Oryctolagus cuniculus: one gene and its partners. The protein of the gene in region 3 interacts with the protein of the main gene of each other region in a pairwise test. Links are inferred from orthologs where the notes say so. Each region holds a gene or a part of one and is shown on either strand. Other genes may lie near its edges. The genes, in order: PALS2, MPP2 and LIN7A.

The links.
Region 1: the proteins of LIN7A (region 3) and PALS2 interact in binary tests that used the Homo sapiens proteins (3 or more experiments, as listed by UniProt). The link is inferred for Oryctolagus cuniculus from reciprocal best matches to the Homo sapiens genes LIN7A and PALS2.
Region 2: the proteins of LIN7A (region 3) and MPP2 interact in binary tests that used the Homo sapiens proteins (3 or more experiments, as listed by UniProt). The two-hybrid records come from large-scale screens. The link is inferred for Oryctolagus cuniculus from reciprocal best matches to the Homo sapiens genes LIN7A and MPP2.

What each region holds. Positions count from the first base shown.
Region 1 is NC_091447.1:16,512,929-16,516,268, forward strand, and holds part of PALS2 (protein PALS2), read left to right. Parts: intron 1-720; coding exon 721-897; 3' UTR 898-3,340.
Region 2 is NC_091448.1:19,289,293-19,292,333, reverse strand, and holds the end of MPP2 (MAGUK p55 subfamily member 2), read right to left. Parts: intron 2,723-3,041; coding exon 2,546-2,722; 3' UTR 513-2,545; downstream 1-512. UniProt on the Homo sapiens protein: Postsynaptic MAGUK scaffold protein that links CADM1 cell adhesion molecules to core components of the postsynaptic density. In CA1 pyramidal neurons, required for synaptic KCNN2-containing channel function and long-term potentiation expression.
Region 3 is NC_091442.1:83,607,853-83,611,508, reverse strand, and holds part of LIN7A (protein lin-7 homolog A), read left to right. Parts: intron 1-457; coding exon 458-676; intron 677-3,656. UniProt on the Homo sapiens protein: Plays a role in establishing and maintaining the asymmetric distribution of channels and receptors at the plasma membrane of polarized cells.

The DNA of each region.
Region 1 (3,340 bases), on a different chromosome or scaffold from region 3:
TGGCTTTGAGCTTTTTAACAGCCATTGCAAGTTGGGTTCCATGATCAACATAGGCCATAAGATGAAAATCTTTCTTAAAAGGATGATACCATTGAACTAGAAAGCAGTCATCTGCAATAATTCTTTTATTACCTTCAGTTCACCCTAAGATTATTGTCAGTAGACTTTTAATTAGGAATCTTACCCTCAAATCAGTGAAACAGAAAATAGAAGATACTTAGAAATGCAAACATGAATGCAAATGAGACTAGGATGTGAACAGGCAGCAATGTCTTTTTTAATATTTATTTATTTGAAAGGCAGAATTACAGGGAGGCAGAGACAGAGGTCTTATGTCCACTGGTTCACTCCCCAGATGGCTGCAATGGCCGGAGCTGCGCTGATCTGAAGCCAGGAGCTTCTTAAGGTCTCCCACGTGGGTGCAGAGGCCCAAGCTTAGGCCATCTTCTTCTGCTTCCCCAGGCCATAGCAGAGAGCTGGATCAGAAGTAGAGCAGCTGGGACTCGAACCAGTGCCCGTGTGGGATGCCAGCGCTGTAGGCAGTAGCTGCTACGCCCCAGCGCCAGCCCCAGCAATGTCTTTTAACATTCTGTGTAGTTTTTGAGGGTTAATATCAGAATTATGATACACACACATCCAACATACTTATTTCTTAAGCACTTTTTGTTGGAATCTGAGCAAGCAAATCTGTATTACAATACGAGCATTTGCTTTTAACAGGACTCTGACTTGAAGAAAACAGTGGATGAAAGTGCCCGGATTCAGAGAGCCTACAACCACTATTTTGATTTGATCATCGTGAATGACAATCTAGACAAAGCCTTTGAGAAGCTACAGACTGCCATAGAGAAACTGAGGATGGAGCCCCAGTGGGTCCCAATCAGCTGGGTTTACTGACAGTTCAGTAAGGTCAACAGTTAAAACTTGAAAAGTGACTGAACAAATAAACCTTCTGCTGAGAAAAACACATGTACAGATAGAAGATACCTGCTAAGCCCAGGCATTTTTATTGTGTAGAATGAAATAACTGTACACTATTCTGAATTTTTATATAAAATGTGGTTGGGAAGGTGTACTAATATATAATTTATCTTAATTTTTCTAACTTTTTATGGATAATCTTTCTATTCATATCACATAAAGAAATGCGTTGAAGCATTTTGTATATGTTTTGATTTAGTACCCTTGCCTTTTTCATCAAAGGAATTTTCAAATCATTCACTCTGACATTGGTCTCACATTTTCACTGTGATAATGAATACTTGAAATAGTTTTGTAAAGCTGTCATTTAGTTCAGTATTTAACCAGTGAAGGGTTCGTTACTCTTCTTAGGAGAAAGTAGTAGTTATTGATCTTCCTTCTTAATTAAATATCCTACAGAAGCAGAATTTTAATGGCAGTGCTACAGCCAGTCTACTACCATCTAAATCTGACATCAGAAGTCTGTCCAGTGCCACATATTTCTGTTATTTCAGCCATGTATGGCTATCCACTCTAATTTATACAGATACCAGTTCTTCCCTTCATTTATGTCATTAGAAAATGAGCAATACCTTGCCCTCTCTTACGAGGTTATTATTTTCATTTGTTGGTAGTTACATGCTGAACACTCACTAATTTAACATGCACATGGTACGCTCTGGGGTTGGAAACAAGGTCACAGAGACTTGAGAGTGCCTTATCCTGTAAAACCTTGCAGCAAAGTGACACTTGAAGAAAGTTTATTTTCACACGCAAATTTAATGGACAGAGGTGAACCTACTAATTTGGACAGGTTTTGATTTTCTTATATGTTGTGTATTAGGTTGTGGTCCGCCAAAGTCTCGTGCCTCCACACATATCTGAGGTATTCCTCTGAGGTTGCAATTGGGGGTTTTCGTGAATGATCAGTATGTGTTTTGAAATGTGATTTGATAATTAGGGTATATATCCTTGTTGTGTTGAAAACCAAATCAGTTCAACAATTTACACGATTTGGAAATAACTGTAAGCTGTTGTATACATACGCACGCACACACATAATATATACACTATATAATATGTATTATATATTATATAGTATATATGAACATTTTTAACATTTCTGTTAGGGAATATACTTTTGGTTTAATGATTAGGAAAAAAATTCTGTAGATGGCTTTATATAATGTACAAATTGTCACATTCACCTCATTTAGTATCTTCCTTTAGCATTTTTGGATGCCATAAATTCAGAAACACATTCAGAGATGCAGCTCATCATTAAACTAAGTTAACTATATTTTCTACTGCTGCTGGCTTCTCACACAATCTTCACTCTTAAAAGCACTAGGTGCTCAGATACTAGCGTTTGGTGACAAGCACCAGGTGCCCAGCGGCTGAGTTTTTCTCCTTCACCAAAGCTGTCACGGGGCATGCCAGTTAGGAGGATTTTAAGGGAAGAGAATATACAAGCCGTACTCACAGGCTGTTTTAGAAACAGCGCTTCATGATACTCAAGTTGCTGTATTGTTGAAATTAGAAATCTGTAGGGTTCTTGTTATTTTTTTAATTCTAGAATTTCATAGCCAAGAACACAAATTCATGTTCCTTGTGCTGAGACAGGAATTTGTTGACAGTTTCTTGTCAACTCTGGAAGCTTTTAAACCATATATATTTCTACCAAATTCTTGGCTTCTCAAAGCAACACGCATCAAAGCACACAGTATGGAGGTGATATCCTATGACTTAATGTTTCAACACACTACAAACATTTCAGTTCTGCACTCTCAGGAAATGTGCGGTATTCCCTGGTGCACCCTGGCACTGCCGCGTGGAGCTTGTTTAAATAGCTTTGGCATAATTGTAGCAGTGCAAGAAGTTGATCCGCAAAATATTTCAACCATGTTGGTGCAGTAGAGATGACTTCTGCCTCATAAATATTTTAGCCTTATCATGTAATATAGAAATGCATATTGTTTAGAAAATAGCCACTTAAAGGAGTTTTTTCTATAAATGGTGTTCATGAATTACTATTTTTTTTAAAGATTTATTTATTTATTTGAAAGAGTTACACAGAGGAGAGGCAGAAACGGGGGGGGGGGGGGGGGTCTTCCATCCAATGGTTCACTCCCCAATTAGCCACAACGGCTGGAGCTGCTGATCTGAAGCCAGGAGCCAGGAGTTTCATCTGGGTCTCCCACATGGGTGCAAGGGCCCAAGCACTTGGGCCATCTTCCACTGCTTTCCCAGGCCATAGCAGAAAGCTGGATTGGAAGTGGAGCAGCCGAGACTCAAACCAGCACCCATGTGGGATGCCAGTACTTCAGGCCAAGGCGTTAACCCGCTGTGCCGCAGCACCAGCCCCCATGATTTACTATTT
Region 2 (3,041 bases), on a different chromosome or scaffold from region 3:
TGCTCTGTTCCCACCAGAGCTGTGAGCTGGGGCTGGTGGGCACCCCACGGCTGCCTCCAGATCACCTGCCACGTTGGTCCCAAGTTCGTCCCTGGGTGGTGGGGGGGGGGGGAGAGTGTGGGATGGGGAGAGGCAGGCATCACAGAACACAAGACATGTGGCTCCAACCTGCATTCTAGAACCATCTGTGCTGTGCTTCCAGGCTCTCAACCTCTCCCAAAGCCATCCACCCCACCCCAACGTCAGGGGGATGGCATTGTGCCACAGTGCCAATTTGAGTCCTGGCTGCTCAGTTTCCGACCCAGCCCCCTGCTAATGTGCCTGGAAAAGCAGCAGCCACTGGTCCAAGTGCTTGGGCCCCTGCCACCCACGTGGGAGACCTGGATGGAGTTCCTGGCTCCTGGCTTCCGCCTGGCCCAGCCTTGGATGTTGCAGTCATTTGAGAGTGAAGCAGAGGATGGAAAATCTTTCAAATACATAGATCTAAAACAAAAGCAACCCAGAGCCCAGAAGCCTTTGCTTTTTCATTTAATCAAAGGAAAAGAGAAAAACACAGAGAAAACTCGAGAAAGTGATGGCTCCAGAGGGGCAGGGGAGGCAACGGGGCTGGGGCTTGGCCTGGGCGTGGGCGTGGGCGTGGGCAGTGGGCAGGGTCCTCCTTCTCCTGCAGTCCCCCTAATTCAGGTCCCCTCTGAGAGAGGAGGACAGCCATGGAGCAAACACGGTGGGCACACACCTGTTCCAGTCCACACAGCCCCAGCGCCTTCCAGGTGATGGGGACTCCACCCCCACCTGATGGGTACCCAGGACGGGCCTGGCATGGGCTCAGCCCCAAGAGGAGGGACCCAGCCCCACCCCTTGGGCACCACCAGTAGCAAAGCTGCCAGAATCACACCAACCAATAGGGAGGGGTGGCTGCAGCAGGAGAGGTGGGACCAGCAATTACCCCACAGCCTCAAGTCAGCAGGAAAATGACCCCTCTTCTTCCCACTCCAGGCCCTTTTAAGCTGAGGGTGAGGATGAGGGTGAGACAGGGAGAGCTGAATCAGGCACAAAAGAGAGGCTGACTTGGGGGCAAAGAAGAGTATAAAGATGACTGCATAGTGTATGCAGAGCTATGCAAATGAGATGGGAGCAGGTGGACCCTTACCTCTCATTTGCATATCTTATGCAAATGTAAAATGAGGTTCTAATATAATAAATATATTTCTAACATTTGTAATAAATAATTCTGTTCATTCTCCCTCCCCTCCCCAGGACACGGGCACACAGTGGCTCAGGGGCCAGCTCTGGCTGACACCATGGTGACAACTGACCAGACACGGGGCAGGGGTCCCCTGGGGTCCCTGGCGAGGGCAGGCTCACCTGGGGCAGGAGCACAGACGAGGAGGGGGAGCAGGTGCCTGGGGTCATCCAGGACAGCACTTCTCTTAACAGGGGGTCTACTTCACAACACTGCCCTCCCAGGGACTGAGGGGTGACGTTTAGGGCGGGGAGGGGGCAATCAGAAAAGGAAGACCCCAAGGAGGACCAAGGCTCAGGAATCTGGGGCAGGGTCTCATAAGAAACGGGGGCTGACAGGGAACCCCCAAAAAGGGGCCTCTAAAAGAAAACAAGCCTCCCCCAACCAAGCCACACACACACACACACACACACGTACACACACATGCACACACACGTCAGCGCCAGATCCACAGAGCAATGCAGCGTGTGGGGCCATGGCCAGGCAGGCCAGGGCCTCCCACTGGGGCAGCCCTGACCCAAGTGGGCCACCTGGACCTTACCAGGAAGATGAGCCTGGACAAAGGTTACGGGCAGGGCGACCAGACCCGGCCCACCCCGGAGCGCCCAGGGCTCCCCGTCACAGGGTCAGGCTCCAGCCACCCCTCCCTTGGCTGAGCCCACCCAGCCCCGCCAGCCTCGCCTCCCCCCCCCCAGGGGTGGGGCTGACCCAGCAGGGACTCGCTGGAGAAGTTTGAGGGGAGACTTAGGCAGTGAGACGCTGTGGAGGAAGGAGGGACAAGGCCACATCCACTCCTGGTCCCTGCCCCTCCCCGAGCTGAGAGCAGTCCCGCCCGTTCCCCCAGCCCAGGCCAACAAGGACCAAGGCCAGCCCCACCCACCGGGAGGCAGGGGTGAGACATGCAGGGGCCCTGGAGCTGGGGGCTGTGGCCAGTCCGGAGGAGGAAAGGTGCCTGGGGAGAGGTGGCTGGGACAGTGCACCTGCTGACCACGTGGTCCCAAAGCAGATTTCCCATCTCTGCACTGAGCAGGCGGAGGAGACTCTGACACACCCTGGGCATGGCTGGGCCCTTGGACAGGGACATCTGGTAGCCAATGGACATCGGGAGTGGGCAGCACCTGGGCACAGAGGTGCCCCACGAACACCCACCTCCCTGGCAGTGCTCGCCTCTCTGCTGGAGCCAGACCTCAGGGCTTGCTGGTGGCTGCTACCCAGGGCAAGCCAGGGAGCCGGGGACGGGGGCTGAGGATGGTGGCTGGAGTCACAGGGGAGCAGGGGACGGGTTCGGGTCCCGGGACAGGCTCAGTACACCCAGCTGACGGGCACCCACTGGGGCTCCGTCCGCAGCTTCTCCATGGCAGCCTGCAGCTCCCGGAAGGTCCTCTCCAGGTTGCTGTTGACCAGGCTGAGGTCAAAGTAGTGGCCGTAGCCCCTCTGGATGCGGCTGCTCTCCTCCACTGTCCGCCTGAGGTCTGCCTCCTGCCAGGCACGGGGGTCAACAGCAGGTCAGCGTCCACAACGCACTCCCATAGCCTGCTCCATCCTCCTCCCCAGAGTCCAGGCAGGAGTCCCTCCCTGCAGGCCACCAGGCCTGGCTTTAGAAAGTGCCACGCCCCTCACTAGGGCTCTGCAAGGTAGGATTAATTCCATCTCACTTTCTACAGAAAACTAAGGTACAAAGAGTCAGCCAGCAGCTCCCCGGGTCTGCCAGACTTCTTAAAGTCTAGGCAGGCCCCTTACCTATGCAACATGGGAGGCCTGTACCAGAGCAGCCAGCCCACAGTGCCCAAGGCAACCC
Region 3 (3,656 bases):
TTTTACTATCTCCTATCTCTTACTATCCTAGTAAAACACTAGTGTAATCATTGTAGATTCTTAATAAACTACAAAATCTGATAGGACAAGTCTTCCTTTTCACTATTTTTAATGTTTTCAAAATTATCTTGACTGGCACACTTACCCTTCCAGATGAAATTTAGAAACTTCAATTTACATGTTAGCATTATCCTTGAGGACCTCACTGTGTGCCATCCCTCTAACTCCGAGTCCCATCCAATCAATTCTGGTTGCATTCTGGTGCAGCTTTACCCTGCTTATAGTCTGGCTACGGATGTAATAACTAGTAATAAATACTAATAGCATTAGACTCCATTTGCTGTACTTCCTGAAATTTCAACCCTGGGTCTTGACCATGATAACCAACTTCAGAATTGTTTCTTTCGGGTGAGAACACCGAAGCTTCCCCCTTTGAGAGATGTCACTGCCTTTGCAGAGCGTGGAAGGGGAACATCACGAGAAAGCTGTGGAACTGCTCAAAGCCGCTAAGGACAGCGTCAAGCTCGTGGTCCGATACACGCCGAAGGTCCTGGAGGAAATGGAGGCCCGCTTTGAGAAGCTGCGGACGGCGCGGCGTCGGCAGCAGCAGCAGCTGCTCATCCAGCAGCAGCAACAGCAGCAGCAGCAGCAAACGCAGCAGAACCATATGTCATAGGTGAGAGGTGCCTCCTGCATGGGAGAGGCCTTTAACCATCAGGGATATATTTTTTTAACCACAGTTCCTTAGATAGCCAAAGTAAAACGAATTGTTGAGTTACGTGTAATCATCCAAAAGAAAGTCAACTAAACAAAAGACAGTGTGCTCAAAATTTGCAAGCCAGAGTGTATGCGTCTGCCACAGGTGTGGCATCTTCTCCACAGGTGTGAGGTGTTTTAGAAAACAGCATGCAATTCTCTAGGAATCCGTTCATCCAAATTAGGAAATGCAGCGTCTGTGCTCATCCAGAGCCTTGAGTGTGAGTGTGAGCTGGATTCCAGGCACCACTCACCCGCCTTGTAGAATGGGCTTTGCACGGCGTTACACTGTGCAACCCAGTGCGGACCCTGGAAGAAGCTTCCTTAGCACATGGAGATGATCGCAGTTTATTAGGAAAAGACCCCACTGCAAAGAACATCAGCAAGATTCAGCTAGTGGCCGTGTTCTTCGAGATTTTGGAGCTCTTATTAAGTGCTCATTTAAAATGTGTCTAAGATGCCCCTGTCTTTTTCTAAATTCCTCCTGGTGACAAAGAGTATTAAATCAGGTTTTTGCTATACCTTTTCAGGAAAAAAATGTTAATATCAAGTCACTATGTTTGAATTGCCTGCTATTTGCTAAGCCCTTACCGCACGTTATCTGAAATGCTCAGAAAAACCCTTCAAGGCATGGACCATTAAAATTCCACTTTTTAAATAGATGATCTGAAGCTGCAAAACCTATCAGGATTTCCCCCATCACCGCACTTACAAAGAAAATAGGATTATTTTCCTGCTTACTCTACCAGGCGTTTCATCTGTCAACATCAGATGATCTGGAGTTACATAACTTTCCCTGTCTGTCCTTTGGAAATGACAGTTGAAAGTGCCTGCAAATGTGTATTTGAAATGAGGCTTTCAATTTTTTTTTTTTTTTGGAAAATAACAATAGGTAATGGTGGTTTAAGTCGTGAAGTATCAGATTACAGTTTGCACAGAAATATTTGATACAACATGATGCTCTCAGTTTTTGTAACACTCGTAAAGAGGAGTTCCCTCTTTACATCCTGCATAGGGAAGCTAAAAAAAAAAAAAATATATAGGACTTGTCCTTTGGCAGTCTTGGGATTCCAACAATCTATCTTTTATAACTAGCTAGCTTTATTATATTATATACACTGTATTTGATATCTCTATTTAAAATTACACTCTCTTATATTCCAAAATTACATTTATTGAACAATAAATATTTATCTGTTACTGCTAGGATCCAGGCACTGATTTAAAAGCTGCAGAAGCACCCTGAGCAAAGCACAGTTCTTGCTCTCATGACGACTACATGTTCACCTGGTTGGAGTAGACAGATCCATGAAAATATCCTGTTGGGACTAGTATTTTGCAGAGTTATAAAGGAGTGTTTCCATAGAGACAGGCTAGGTGATGACTCTAGACTGGGTGGCAGGGGAAGAACTCTCAGAGAAGGTGACAGTCAAGGTGGGGACTGAAGGGCAAGGGCAAACCAAGAAAGAGAAGGGCAGTTCCGTGGCAGACAGGGCCTGTGTGATGCTGGAGGAACGTAGCGAAAGCCCGAGTACTTAGATAATGGTGCATGAAAGGGCACTGGCGGATTACGAAGCCAGTGAGATCGCTGGGGCCAGGCCGCAGAGAGCTCCCTAAACCGCTAAGGGAAATTGGATTTTACTGCACTAGAGGCCACTAAAGGCTTTCAAGCAAGAGACTGACCTGATGTGATTTATGTATTAAAAAGACCCCACTGGCTGCTGTGAGAGTGGATCCTTGCTGGCTGGAGGCTAATAGAGAATATATGTAGAAGTAGTAGTGCAGGCAGGAGCGGGGGTGGCTTGGGCTAGGCTGATACAGTTGAGATTAAGGGCTGTAGTCAGGCATGGACAAGCCATCTTGTCCAAAGCCTTCTCCTGCTCTGATAATAATGCCAACCCACTAGTCTTAACCAAACACTGATGTTCTTTCTGCTGACACACAATTTCTTCCATCTTCAGTAATACAAATGTATACCAATTCCTTAAATTCATTTACCACATTGGCCCAGGGTAATGTTGTTAAGAAATATTTTGAAAGAGATATGTTGCCATCTAGACTTCTGCCATCTTACTAAAAGCTTCCAATATTATTATGTTCATTCAGTCATCTTTGGAAGTATACAACATGGACATAAATATTTGCTGGGCTGTGTACTCAGTTCTGTTTCTTTGTTCCACTAGTTTTTGTGAAATTACCTCAGAACCACCAACAATAACATTCTTAATAAAAGACATTTATAGACTATGCTTTTGCTTGCATAGTATGTACATAAATGTACATAAAATTTTATGTTTGCCAATATAGCATTTGCAGTACACTTGATCACAGTACCTTGAGACGAAATTCTAGTGGCCATTTCAAGAACAAGGAAAATACAATCAAGTCATGGCATTCATGAATTCAATAGTAAATTTGAGGAGGTCTCCATTAGCTCTTATTTAATTTTTAATTAATTAGATTTTTAAGGACTAGATGGGATTTGTTACACTTACCAACCCAAATTATCGTTGCTTTAAAAAAAATAGACTTGGGCCGGCGCCGCGGCTCAATAGGCTAATCCTCCACCTTGCGGCGCCCGCACACCTGGTTCTAGTCCCGGTCGGTCGGGGTGCCGGATTCTGTCCCGGTTGCCCCTCTTCCAGGCCAGCTCTCTGCTGTGGCCCCTGAGTGCAGTGGAGTATGGCCCAAGTGCTTGGGCCCTGCACCCGCATGGGAGACCAGGAGAAGCACCTGGCTCCTGGCTTCTGATCAGTGTGGTGCGCCGGCCACAGTGCGCCAGCCACGGCAGCCATTAGGGGGTGAACCAATGGAAAAAGGAAAACCTTTCTCTTTGTCTCTCTCTCTCACTGTCCACTCTGCCTGTCCAAAAAAAAAAAAAAAAAAAAAAATAGGCTTGA